3 linked regions of the Daphnia pulex genome follow. The protein of the gene in region 1 purifies or fractionates together with the protein of each later gene. This does not show direct contact. Links are inferred from orthologs where the notes say so. Each region holds a gene or a part of one and is shown in the gene's direction. Other genes may lie near its edges.

The links. The genes of interacting proteins can lie anywhere in the genome.
Region 2: the proteins of akirin-2-like (region 1) and GTP-binding nuclear protein Ran purify together in Homo sapiens (affinity purification with mass spectrometry; 3 studies listed by BioGRID and IntAct, counting the BioPlex papers as one, with this or other methods). This does not show direct contact. The link is inferred for Daphnia pulex from reciprocal best matches to the Homo sapiens genes AKIRIN2 and RAN.
Region 3: the proteins of akirin-2-like (region 1) and proteasome subunit alpha type-5-like purify together in Homo sapiens (affinity purification with mass spectrometry; 3 studies listed by BioGRID and IntAct, with this or other methods). This does not show direct contact. The link is inferred for Daphnia pulex from reciprocal best matches to the Homo sapiens genes AKIRIN2 and PSMA5.

What each region holds. Positions count from the first base shown.
Region 1 is NC_060027.1:5,353,318-5,357,250, reverse strand, and holds akirin-2-like, read left to right. Parts: upstream 1-1,365; 5' UTR 1,366-1,670; coding exon 1,671-1,842; intron 1,843-1,906; coding exon 1,907-2,157; intron 2,158-2,438; coding exon 2,439-2,601; intron 2,602-2,667; coding exon 2,668-2,678; 3' UTR 2,679-3,359; downstream 3,360-3,933. Other genes in the region: dehydrodolichyl diphosphate synthase complex subunit nus1-like, read right to left, coding at 11-242, 300-431, 510-873; uncharacterized protein LOC124207045, read right to left, coding at 3,616-3,882. UniProt on the Homo sapiens protein: Molecular adapter that acts as a bridge between a variety of multiprotein complexes, and which is involved in embryonic development, immunity, myogenesis and brain development.
Region 2 is NC_060020.1:1,358,503-1,362,061, forward strand, and holds GTP-binding nuclear protein Ran, read left to right. Parts: upstream 1-1,573; 5' UTR 1,574-1,726; exon of another isoform or gene 1,727-1,783; intron 1,784-1,911; exon of another isoform or gene 1,912-2,009; intron 2,010-2,140; 5' UTR 2,141-2,153; coding exon 2,154-2,396; intron 2,397-2,454; coding exon 2,455-2,643; intron 2,644-2,702; coding exon 2,703-2,918; 3' UTR 2,919-3,055; downstream 3,056-3,559. Other genes in the region: uncharacterized protein LOC124192239, read left to right, coding at 1-742; NFATC2-interacting protein-like, read right to left, coding at 3,141-3,415. UniProt on the Homo sapiens protein: GTPase involved in nucleocytoplasmic transport, participating both to the import and the export from the nucleus of proteins and RNAs. Switches between a cytoplasmic GDP- and a nuclear GTP-bound state by nucleotide exchange and GTP hydrolysis.
Region 3 is NC_060026.1:13,770,766-13,774,071, forward strand, and holds proteasome subunit alpha type-5-like, read left to right. Parts: upstream 1-1,545; 5' UTR 1,546-1,660; intron 1,661-1,729; 5' UTR 1,730-1,747; coding exon 1,748-1,816; intron 1,817-1,888; coding exon 1,889-2,042; intron 2,043-2,107; coding exon 2,108-2,288; intron 2,289-2,352; coding exon 2,353-2,509; intron 2,510-2,568; coding exon 2,569-2,736; 3' UTR 2,737-2,802; downstream 2,803-3,306. Other genes in the region: vascular endothelial growth factor receptor 1-like, read left to right, coding at 1-135, 197-350, 431-604, 684-839, 931-1,148. UniProt on the Homo sapiens protein: Component of the 20S core proteasome complex involved in the proteolytic degradation of most intracellular proteins. This complex plays numerous essential roles within the cell by associating with different regulatory particles.

The sequences.
Region 1 (3,933 bases):
TTTTTCTTACATCATCTGAGTAAGTCTAAGATGCCATGGGGAGTACCCTAGGGTAGTGTTAGACAGTAAGCTGCCAAACTGTAACATCAACTCTGGGTCTTTGGGGTAGAATTGATTCATGGTGTTTTCCACTACACCCTGATCAATTTGACAATAATTTAATTCACCCACTATTTGCCTTGTAACTTGGGCAAACATAGGTTTGCCATCATTTTGATTCATGATGAAAACATTGATAGAATCTTTAAAGAAAAAACATAATTAGAAAAATGAATTTCACTACTATACTATCCAATTACCCAAATTGTAGAATTCTTTTGTTACAAAGCCTTTATGAACAGCAACAGATTTGGATTTCAATCCATTGCGAAAATTGGCAGCAACACCTTTCAATTTGATTTTGATTTCATCATGACAGCTAGTCAGACAACCTAAAATTTTAACAGTTATGAATCAATCAAATTTGCTAGAAAAATAAGGTACTAATTAAACAGGTAATAAATAAATACCTTCATGATCATAGAGACTGATGCAATAGACACCCATACTAACAAACCACTCAACAATAGTTATTATTCTATCAATGTTTACATCCTTCTCAGTAAACAAGCAAGCAACATGAATGGGAAGTTTTTGAAGTAGTTTCAGGTCACTTCCAATAGTTTGAAGGAGAAGACGTTCATCTTTTATATTTGCACCTAATTTCACAGTCGTGGCATTCAGCAAAACATGGCAGTCTGCTGGCCAGAGGTAAGTTCGATCCTTAACAACTGGTTTGATACGATCAATGAGTTCACTAAACGCCACATGAATGTTGTGAATATATGTGATAATAAAATGAAGAATCACATAGAGCACATTAAGAACCCCCATGACCGATAGAATTTAACTAAATTAACTAAAAAAGGGTGACCACTTGTCACATGACATGCCGGTCTGCTGGATCTTTTGGCATGTCAAACAGTTTACATCGACGCCACTTTTTTAACACATGTCAAATAAAAATAGCAACACTTGAATTAATTGCCATAAATCACACAACTAATTATTAGCTCGATTCCAGGTATAATTTTCTCTTTTTTATCAAAACAGCACCTACAAGAAAACAAAAATTATGTTTTTACGGACGCGGACTTCAAACGTTTTTTCTCACAACAAATATTCTACTGAAAATTAATTGTCATTAGAATTTTACTTACTTGTTCTAATTTGTAAATTTAGAAGTGAACTTGCGATCTTGGTCATCTGAATAATAAAATGAACTGGAAAAATGAATTTTTATCGGCTTCGGTTGTCGAATGTCGACCGTCGACGTGGCTGGAATTGCCCTTAGGGGATTGAAGCTCTACATAAAACTGGCAATGCTGTTCACCACTCTCCCTAGGGCTAAAGCTACTTTTGTAACCAATAGAAAACCAAGAGAGCTGCAGTTGTCTTAATGGACGAAGCTGGGTAAATTTCTTCGAAGAATTATCCCATTTCATCCATCAGTCTATCATATATATTACGACGAATTTGTGTTCATTGGATTTCCAATTGCATCTGTTGTGAACTAGCATCTTTTGATAGCCATTCGTTTAACGCATCCTGTGTAATTCAGCTGACTATTTTCTGTTGCTTTTCAAGCATAGCATAGCAACTTGCCTAAGAAAGAAAGTCGTTGAATCAAAATGGCTTGTGTTACTTTGAAGCGTAGTTTGGAATTTGATCCTGTGCACAGTCCCGGTGGTCGTACACCGAAACGAAGGAGATGTATGCCAATTTGCATGCCTCCAACAACTCCACCAACAAAGTGCCATGAACCTTCTCCTTTTGGCGATGTCTCTTCGAAGCTTACACCAGGTATGTGAGATTTCATAACCAAGTCTTACCAGAATGATTTCTAACTAACGTTATTCTACTTTAGAGCAAATCTTGGCGAATGTTCGTGAGGAAGTTAAACGCTTTCAACGTCGTAAACAGCTTAATTTCAGTCAAAATCAATCTCAGCACATGAGCAGCCAGCATCAAGACAGTTTGATGTGTGAGAGCCCTACCAGTCCAGCATCTCCTGCCTCATGCCCTCGATCACCTTCGCCATTGATGGCCCTGGCTTCCTCCAATAATTTTGGTCAAAGCTGCTCAACTAAAGAGAAACCTTTGTTCACGTTTAAGCAGGTAGGAACAGTTTGTGATTCTCTAGTGTTACATGTTGGTAGTGCTGGTTTTCTTTGAGCTTGATGTTTCCAGTATCATGCGTCTTTGCTAGACTCAGCGTTCTGCTGTTGTCTAGCTTGGCCTCCTCCAGCACATGCCATAAATTAAAAATAGAGTATCATAGTAACAGGATGTGTCATGTACGGCATTCTGTCCTCCAATTCCTCAAACATATTTTCAAGAGATGAAGAAACAAGTGTTTTGTAGTTGAGATTTTGTAACATTCCCTTGTTGTTTTACAGGTGAGCCTCATTTGTGAAAGAATGTTAAAAGAGCGCGAAACAGAAATTCGCGAGGAGTATGATCGAGTATTGACACTTAAACTCGCCGAGCAATACGACGCATTTGTTAAGTTTACTCAGGACCAGCTACAGAAGCGTTTCGAGGCCAATTCGGCACCATCTTGTAAGATATACTTTTATTCTTTCTAAATTGTTTCTATCCTAACTGAATTTTTTCTTCTATTTACAGATTTGTCATAAGATTCAACAGGCGCATAAACTAAAGCTTATTTTTTAATAAATTCGTTTTTTTTGTTTTTTTTTTCTAATCGCAATTCACCACGGTTAATTGCGCAAAATTTCCTCGCTCCTAACTTTACATATTCCCCACGCGCTATGCACACGGGCATGTACGAGCGCGCGTAATGTTATCATCCGCTTATTTGTATATGTAAAGAGAAGGGGAAAAAATCCGCCGTCTGATCTTCAATGTGGTTTTGTCATACATTTGAAAATTGTCGTAGCCGTGTATTTCTTTGATGCTCCAAACGTTAGCAATAGAAAAAAAACATCCGATTAGTTAAGATTATCTCGTGAGGTGATGACATCGATGTTGCCAGTATATTGATATACCTTTTAACCCTGCGATGAGAACACTTCCGAGTCTCGAAAGTATCTGGATTGATGGTAGAGGAAACGTAGCAATCGAAGTGAAATGTGGATGAGTGCCAAGTTCTATCTTATATCCTCTGCATGGTAAAGCCCAAGGGGATTATGTCCACATTTACTACCTTTCCTATTTGGTCGGATGTCTTTCTAATCTGAATGAAATAACTTGGCGTTGGTATTTGTTTCGTTCCCTTTTTCTCCTATTTTGTTTTCAATTACAAGACTTTTGATTGCGCGGATCGAGGAAAAACAATACACTTGGCTACCTCTTAAGACGTTTGTTCGTTACAGCTCTTAAGCTGTTTATTATTGTAATTTAGTTTATGCTGTTTATTTAGAAATGTGTTAGGATAATAGAAAATTACGCTATACAATTAATTCCCATCATGTTGCGTGCAACTAGCCTAATATTTTATATCCCGGTATGACAGGGGATAAAGTTTTCATAGTTATCATGTTTTATTTGATTGTCAGACAAAAGATAGCAACGGAGTTTCAGTTGAATAAACACAATGAATTGGTTGGTTCTTTATTTTACCTGTATGGTATTCAAATTAAATTGCTCTTGAATTTGTTGGCAGAGTTGGTCCAATGCCTCCTCCAATGTGGCATTATCAAGTTTTGGAACACTGGGTAGCACTTTAGGAACAAGTCTGTTATATCTACGATTCAAAAACACTGGGTCTGATGTTGGTGGTTTTCTGAAAATCTGCGATGACTCCGTTGTTAGGTGTTTGTGGCGCTTCATGTTCCGAGACTCCTGGCGTTTAAGTAGGCGATTTTTCTTCAGCGAAATCTATCCCATGCGAATGAATAGGTAGATACGACGTTTACAAATAGATTATAT
Region 2 (3,559 bases), on another chromosome or scaffold:
TACCCATTTCCTGGAACCTCAAGATGTCAAAGAAATGGATCAAGAAATGGAAATGGATCCATTATTCATCACCACTGTTGCACCAATTGCACCTCCATTTCTCGTTGCTCCCGTCCTTAACCCACCGTTAGCCGCTGGGAAAATAACTGCCAATCCCTTTCTTCTTTCCGATTTTCCCGAAACAACAACACCTCTTCAAGCAAAAAAACGATTGATCGAAACCAATGTAAGCCAATCTCCCAGAAAATTAACAAAAATGGCCCCGCATGTTATGCCTGTGAAAGTTGAATTACTTCAACACAATTCGCCGGTTTGGTTGGTGAAATCTGAATTCGAGGAATCCAGTGTCATTGATCCCGACGAGATTCGACTGCTTCCCTTCGCACCTTCACATTTGGAATCACCACAAGAAGCTACTACAAAAGTCCCATTGAGTCGTCCTTCTACATCTTCGGTACCAAAGTCAAAAGTTGACATAGACGTGGATGAAGAAGGTAATTTATTCGCCACCATTCGTCTGATTGCCCCATCGCCTTCCATCACATCAAACAAACTTAAGGCATCAAAGAATGTTAACTGCAAAAACAAGAGGACTAGTAATCACTTTGGGCACTCTGGAAAAAATCCATCATCAAGGTTAAGCACAAAAAAAGAAACAAGAGCCAAAAAAGAGGACCCATTTTCTGTCAAGAGTCTGATGGCAAAGTTCATTGAAGCTGCAAAAAATAAAAAAATCTCCTAACTTTGATAACTATATATGATAAAACTTGGAGTTCCATGTTTATTTCAGATTATTTTAGTTTATTTTTATGTGTGCATGATTAGTTCGCCAATGTGGAATGTGATGACTACTGAAACCCCCTATCCCCATATTCCCCTTTGTCTTGCGTTTTTTGTTTGGATCCTCGTTCAAGTAGTCAGTTTCGCGTTGAGTTACAAACGAACCGGTATCGCATCAAAATGTTCGTCATAGCTTTATCTCCCAAGATTTTATACACTGTGATGAAACCTTCCGAAAATTATTTTGTAATAGTTCATTGATATTTTGTTTGTAAAACAAAACTCGCCATTATTTTTTGTAACCCAGAAATTCATCGTATCAATAAATACAGATGCTTGTATGAATGATCGCCTCCGTTGTTATTTTTCTTCGAACGGTTGATTTTATAACATACAATGAAATAATGACTAACAAAAAAAACAGCAATCATAACTTTGACAGAAATATTCATCATGCTGCTACCACGTCTTTTAATGTCCTATTAATTAATTTATATACAGTGATGCTTATAGGAATTTCTTTCTTCTTTTAAAAGGTAATTTCATTTGAATTAAGTGCTACTATCCTTTTTATTAACACATTTAGCATTTTAATCTCACACAAAATAAATATATTGTTGATTAAAAAATTAAAAAACATCATCCCGTTAATAGGCCTGAATGAAATTCAACATTAATAAATTACATTCAAAGCTTTAGACAGGCTTTAGAGAAATAGAGAGCTACAGCCCTGCTACAGCCTACTTTCCATTTTCAAATTCCAACCGTCTTTTTTTCAAAGAAAAGGAAAATATTCCCGCCGTTTCTCCTAGTGAAATTTGGCAACATCTCGCTAGGAATTTTTTAGAGCCACCCATTTTCAGCCAGCCTTTACGCTACCAGAATTTTTAGAGACCAGTTTGGTATTAGAACCGCGCGATTGTGAACCTAAAGCTTAAAACCGCCGGTGAGTTAGATTTATCTTCGAATATTGTCCACATCCTTCATCTTTTCGTTGTTTTAAGTAAGCAGTAATGTTTCTTTTGCCAATCTCTTTTTAATTCGGCATGGAAAGTATTTTAGTCATCATAGTTATTTTATTCTGCATTTTTCAAGTTGTAACCTCTAACAGTCATCTTCCTCCATCAAAGACAACGCACTAAGCTAGTCAGTGGCGGTAAAACTGTTCTGTGGTAGTTGTTTGAAATAGTCCCTTTTTTCTCTTGACATTAAACATTGACAGTTAACTTGTAAGTGTTCACGAGTGTGTAAATTTTTAGAAAAATATATTTTGTTGTCGTTAGATTAAGTTCCAGTAAATTCTTGTTGAATGACGCAATCAAGTCTGATCGATTCACTTATCTTTTCTCATTATTTGTAGGATTTACAACAGAATGGCTGCCGAACCTGACATGCCCACTTTCAAGCTGGTCTTGGTTGGCGATGGTGGTACCGGAAAAACCACTTTCGTTAAGCGTCACTTGACTGGTGAATTTGAAAAGAAGTATGTGGCCACACTTGGTGTGGAAGTTCACCCTTTGGTTTTCCATACAAACCGTGGAGCCATCAGATTCAACGTGTGGGACACTGCTGGTCAGGAGAAGTTTGGAGGTCTCAGAGATGGATATTACATTCAGGTAAATGTCAGCATACTTGTATTCACATGGTCTCGACTGACTTTCATTTATCTTGCAGGGCCAATGTGCTATCATCATGTTTGATGTAACCTCTCGTGTCACCTACAAAAATGTTCCAAATTGGCACAGAGATTTGGTCCGAGTTTGTGAAAACATCCCAATTGTTCTTTGTGGCAACAAAGTTGACATTAAAGATCGTAAAGTCAAGGCCAAATCCATTGTCTTTCACAGAAAGAAGAATCTCCAGGTATGTTAATTGTGCTACTAAATTGTAAATGCAATTTGCTAAATTTTGGTTTCATTTAGTACTATGACATTAGTGCCAAGTCAAACTACAACTTTGAAAAGCCTTTCCTCTGGCTAGCACGTAAGCTAATTGGAGACCCTAACCTAGAGTTTGTTGCTATGCCTGCTCTGCAGCCACCTGAGGTGCAGATGGATCCTAATTGGCAGAAGCAAATTGAAGGTGAATTGGAGGAAGCTCAACACATTGCACTACCAGAAGATGATGAAGACTTGTAACATCAACATATTAGGATTTAAGCCACTACACCCTCCCACAAATTTTTCCATCTGTGTTTTCTGCCTTCTATCTTAACCAATTTTTATTTGCGAGGTATGAAAATACATTGTGCGTCATAATACAAAAGTCTTTCGAATTTTTGTTTATTAGTGCATAATTTATTTGCGCAAGGGAAAATATACAAAGTAGTAAAGTTAAGAAAAATGTAGTGAACAAATAAACTACTCTCTAATGAAAACATCGATACACTCGCCACCTTCAAATTCCAGACTAGACGGTGTGTCATCTTCTTCCAACATTTCGCCGTCAAATTTAAACTTCAATTTGGACAAATCAATCCCGGTTGCTTCCGCATACTTCTGCATCAAAACTGCCATAGGGTCTTCGGGGCGCATTGATATAACCACTTGTGCATTCCGGTTCTGACTCTGAACCTTTAACTCCAACAATGTTTCGTTGGAGCTGACGACAACTCCTTCTTTGCAGACTGAAGCATCTGTTAAAAAAAAGCACTGTTACAACGTTCGCTAATACCAAACCCAATCGTCCAAAGTTTTTACATTGGAAAACCAATTGACTTCATGCCAGGGTTGCTAAAACCGATTTATGACGCTGAAATGGACTGTAATTTGAATGACAA
Region 3 (3,306 bases), on another chromosome or scaffold:
AATAATGTTTTCATTGACGACCAACAAGGTGGCATGAAGAACAGCACCTTTATTTTTGAACACGGAAATTCTGGCCTTGTCCCGTGCAAGTCCACTCATCCTAATGTTACCGTCTCGCTCATCCGCAACTCTCGAGTAAACTAAAATTTTATTCGCAAGACAATATTATGTTAATATAATTATTCAACATTAATAGAATTTATTATCTGAACCCAATTCAAACTGGTTGATGGAATCGAAACGCGGATTGATACTTCATCAAGCGACGTTTGAAGACACTGGTGACTACCAGTGCATTGGAACAGTCAATAATATCAGCACGAAGATATTTTTTAAGATTTTCGTTGAAGGTATTTGTGTATTATAATTAAAGTCCGGTGGAATGTGCCTTAACCCTCATTTGAACTCACTAATTAAACCCCGAAAATAGGAATAGAATTGATAAGAGTTGACAACATTGCTGATCCATGGGAAGGAAACAATGTCACATTAATTTGTCGTGCCAACACCAATCCCGAATTTGCTTCGCCTCCCGAATGGTTTTTCAAGTCAAAATTCGACATGAGTACACTAAAACGAATTAATGAGACGGGCCCATCTGAAGGTAAAAAAACTTGATCACTTTTTCACAGTGTGAAGATTTTATTTTAACATTTTTTACTTTATCCAACATAAAATTAAAGGCATTAAAATCAGCTTAACTAATGACGAGTTGGGAGTTTACGAAAGTCGACTAGAACTTCTCAATGTTAACCGCCAAACTACTCACAGAGAATTTAAGTGCAACTCAAAAATCGATAACAAAACTGTATCGAAAGAAATTTCTTTTTTTATTACAGGTATATTTCCTTTTTAAAAATTTAATGCAACGTCCCATCGCGTTGATAAAAATGTGGACATTAATTAATTACATTTCCACATTTTTTTAAGGGCCTGATCACTCATGGATAATCTACGGACTAATACTTCCTATCGGTATTATTGTTCTTGTCATGATTTTTGTTGCAATCATCGTTGTCATCCGAAGGCGATATTGTGCGTCCTGTGACATTGAAGAATCCTCCTGTTGTGTTTGTCTACTCGGACTTTTGAACTGCTTACAGATGTGCACTTATTGCTGCCTTGCTGCATCCGACTTCAGCTCGTAGACATTCCTCATAAGGAACAGAAAATTTTTAATTTCTAAAACAATTTATGGTCTTCGTTTGCATTTTTTTAATGCACCGCCGCATTATTATGCGTATTGTTTTATAATTACCTCCTCCTTCTATCACCCCTTAGTAAATAATTAGTAATACATTTTGCCAAAAATTTAAACAGTTTCTTTTACTTGATTTTCCTCATTTTAATTACTTTTTAAAGTAGCAGACTAGCAGTAGTTGCGAGATGCTTAATTGTAACAACTGAACATTGTCATTGTAGATAGCACGAAAGGAGCGTGATCTATCCTTATACTACGCTTTATTTTGTATAAAAGATAAATGATGAGTAGATTAGATTTCTAATACAAAATATTCCATTGATTTTAAAATAAGGCGCGCAAGTTTGTTTCAATAATTGTTCAACAGATCTCGCTGTTTTTCGATGTAAAAACAACTGCCGCACGCCAGCCGTCCACCAGTTTCTGAAGTGACAAGTCGTTTTTCGAAACATAACTCAGGTTGGTTTGCAGTGGAGACAAGTTGAATCTTGCATTACATTCATTTATTTTATTTAAATTCTATTGCAGTTTTGCGTCAAAATCAGGATGTTCCTTACAAGATCCGAATATGACCGTGGTGTCAATACTTTTTCACCAGAAGGTCGTCTTTTCCAGGTAGCCCGGCATTTGCACTGAGAAATGTATTAAAACTATCTTCAAGTTGTAATTTTTGTCTGAAAAATGTAGGTTGAATATGCAATTGAAGCCATCAAACTAGGTTCTACTGCCATTGGAATTCAGACTTCAGAAGGAGTAGTGCTTGCTGTTGAAAAACGAATCACCTCACCCCTCATGGAACCAACAACAATTGAAAAAATTGTTGAAATTGATAAACATATTGGCAAGTATAGAATTGATTTGTATTGTTACATTTTTAATAAGAATTTTCAATTTTGTTAAAATTAGGATGTGCTGTTAGTGGTCTTATGGCAGATTCACGAACAATGGTAGATCGTGCTCGTGTTGAAGCCCAAAATCATTGGTTTACATATGATGAAAAGATGAGTGTTGAATCTGTAGCCCAGGCAGTTTCTAATTTAGCAATTCAGTTTGGAGATTCTGATGATGATGGAAATGCCATGTCTAGGTAAAATTTGGGAAATTGTTAAATGCTTGCTTTCTTATTAACAACCTTCACTGCAATTATTTAGACCTTTTGGTGTAGCCATTCTATTTGCTGGGATTGATGAGAAGGGCCCTCAGTTGTTCCACATGGATCCCTCAGGAACCTATGTTCAATATGATGCAAAAGCAATTGGATCAGGAAGTGAGGGTGCTCAGCAGTCACTCCAAGAGGCATATAACAAAGTAAGATAAATATTTCAATGGAAAAAATCAAAATCATCCATGTTTTTCTTTATATTTAGTCTATGACTCTTAAATCAGCAATGAAAGCTGCTTTGACTATCTTGAAGCAAGTCATGGAAGAGAAATTGAGCTCAACCAATGTTGAAGTTGCAGCCGTTACTCCCGACCAGCCTTTCCATATGTATTCAAAGGAGCAAGTAGAGGATGTCATAAAAGAAATTGCTTAGAATTAACTGATACTTCACGCACTTGTAAACTCAAGGTGGACAATAAAAAAACGTTTTTGAAGACTATTTGGGTACTTCTAATTACTAATAGATAATTTTTGTTAATCTTAAATTAAACTAGTGAGTGTAGTATGGAATAATTTGATTTGTTAAAATGTTCTGTTTAGTTTTTCAAAGTTATTTTACAAATTTAAAACATACTCGAAATTCTGGTTCTGCTTCTGCACCTGTGCGACGGATTTTGAGTAGAAAGCGAATTAAGAGCTCTCCTTTTAAGTTTTTATCGGCTAAGGCGTTGAGATATCTTCGTTAAAAATTCAACACTCAATCTTTAAGCAGCAAAAGCGCAGTTGAAATCGCATAAAGCATATTTCGCCATCCCTTCATTAGCACTTTAATAATTCGTCATATAAATCTTTTAAGGCTACTTATTTTTAAATGAGAGGAAACTCTATTCTTGATTATCTTAAATACCATTCGTGTGGATTCGTACAATCGTGAATCGTGAATTCATGAATTCGCGTGCGATTCTGCGCGGGCACGCTACAAATTAAACATCTGACATCGTTG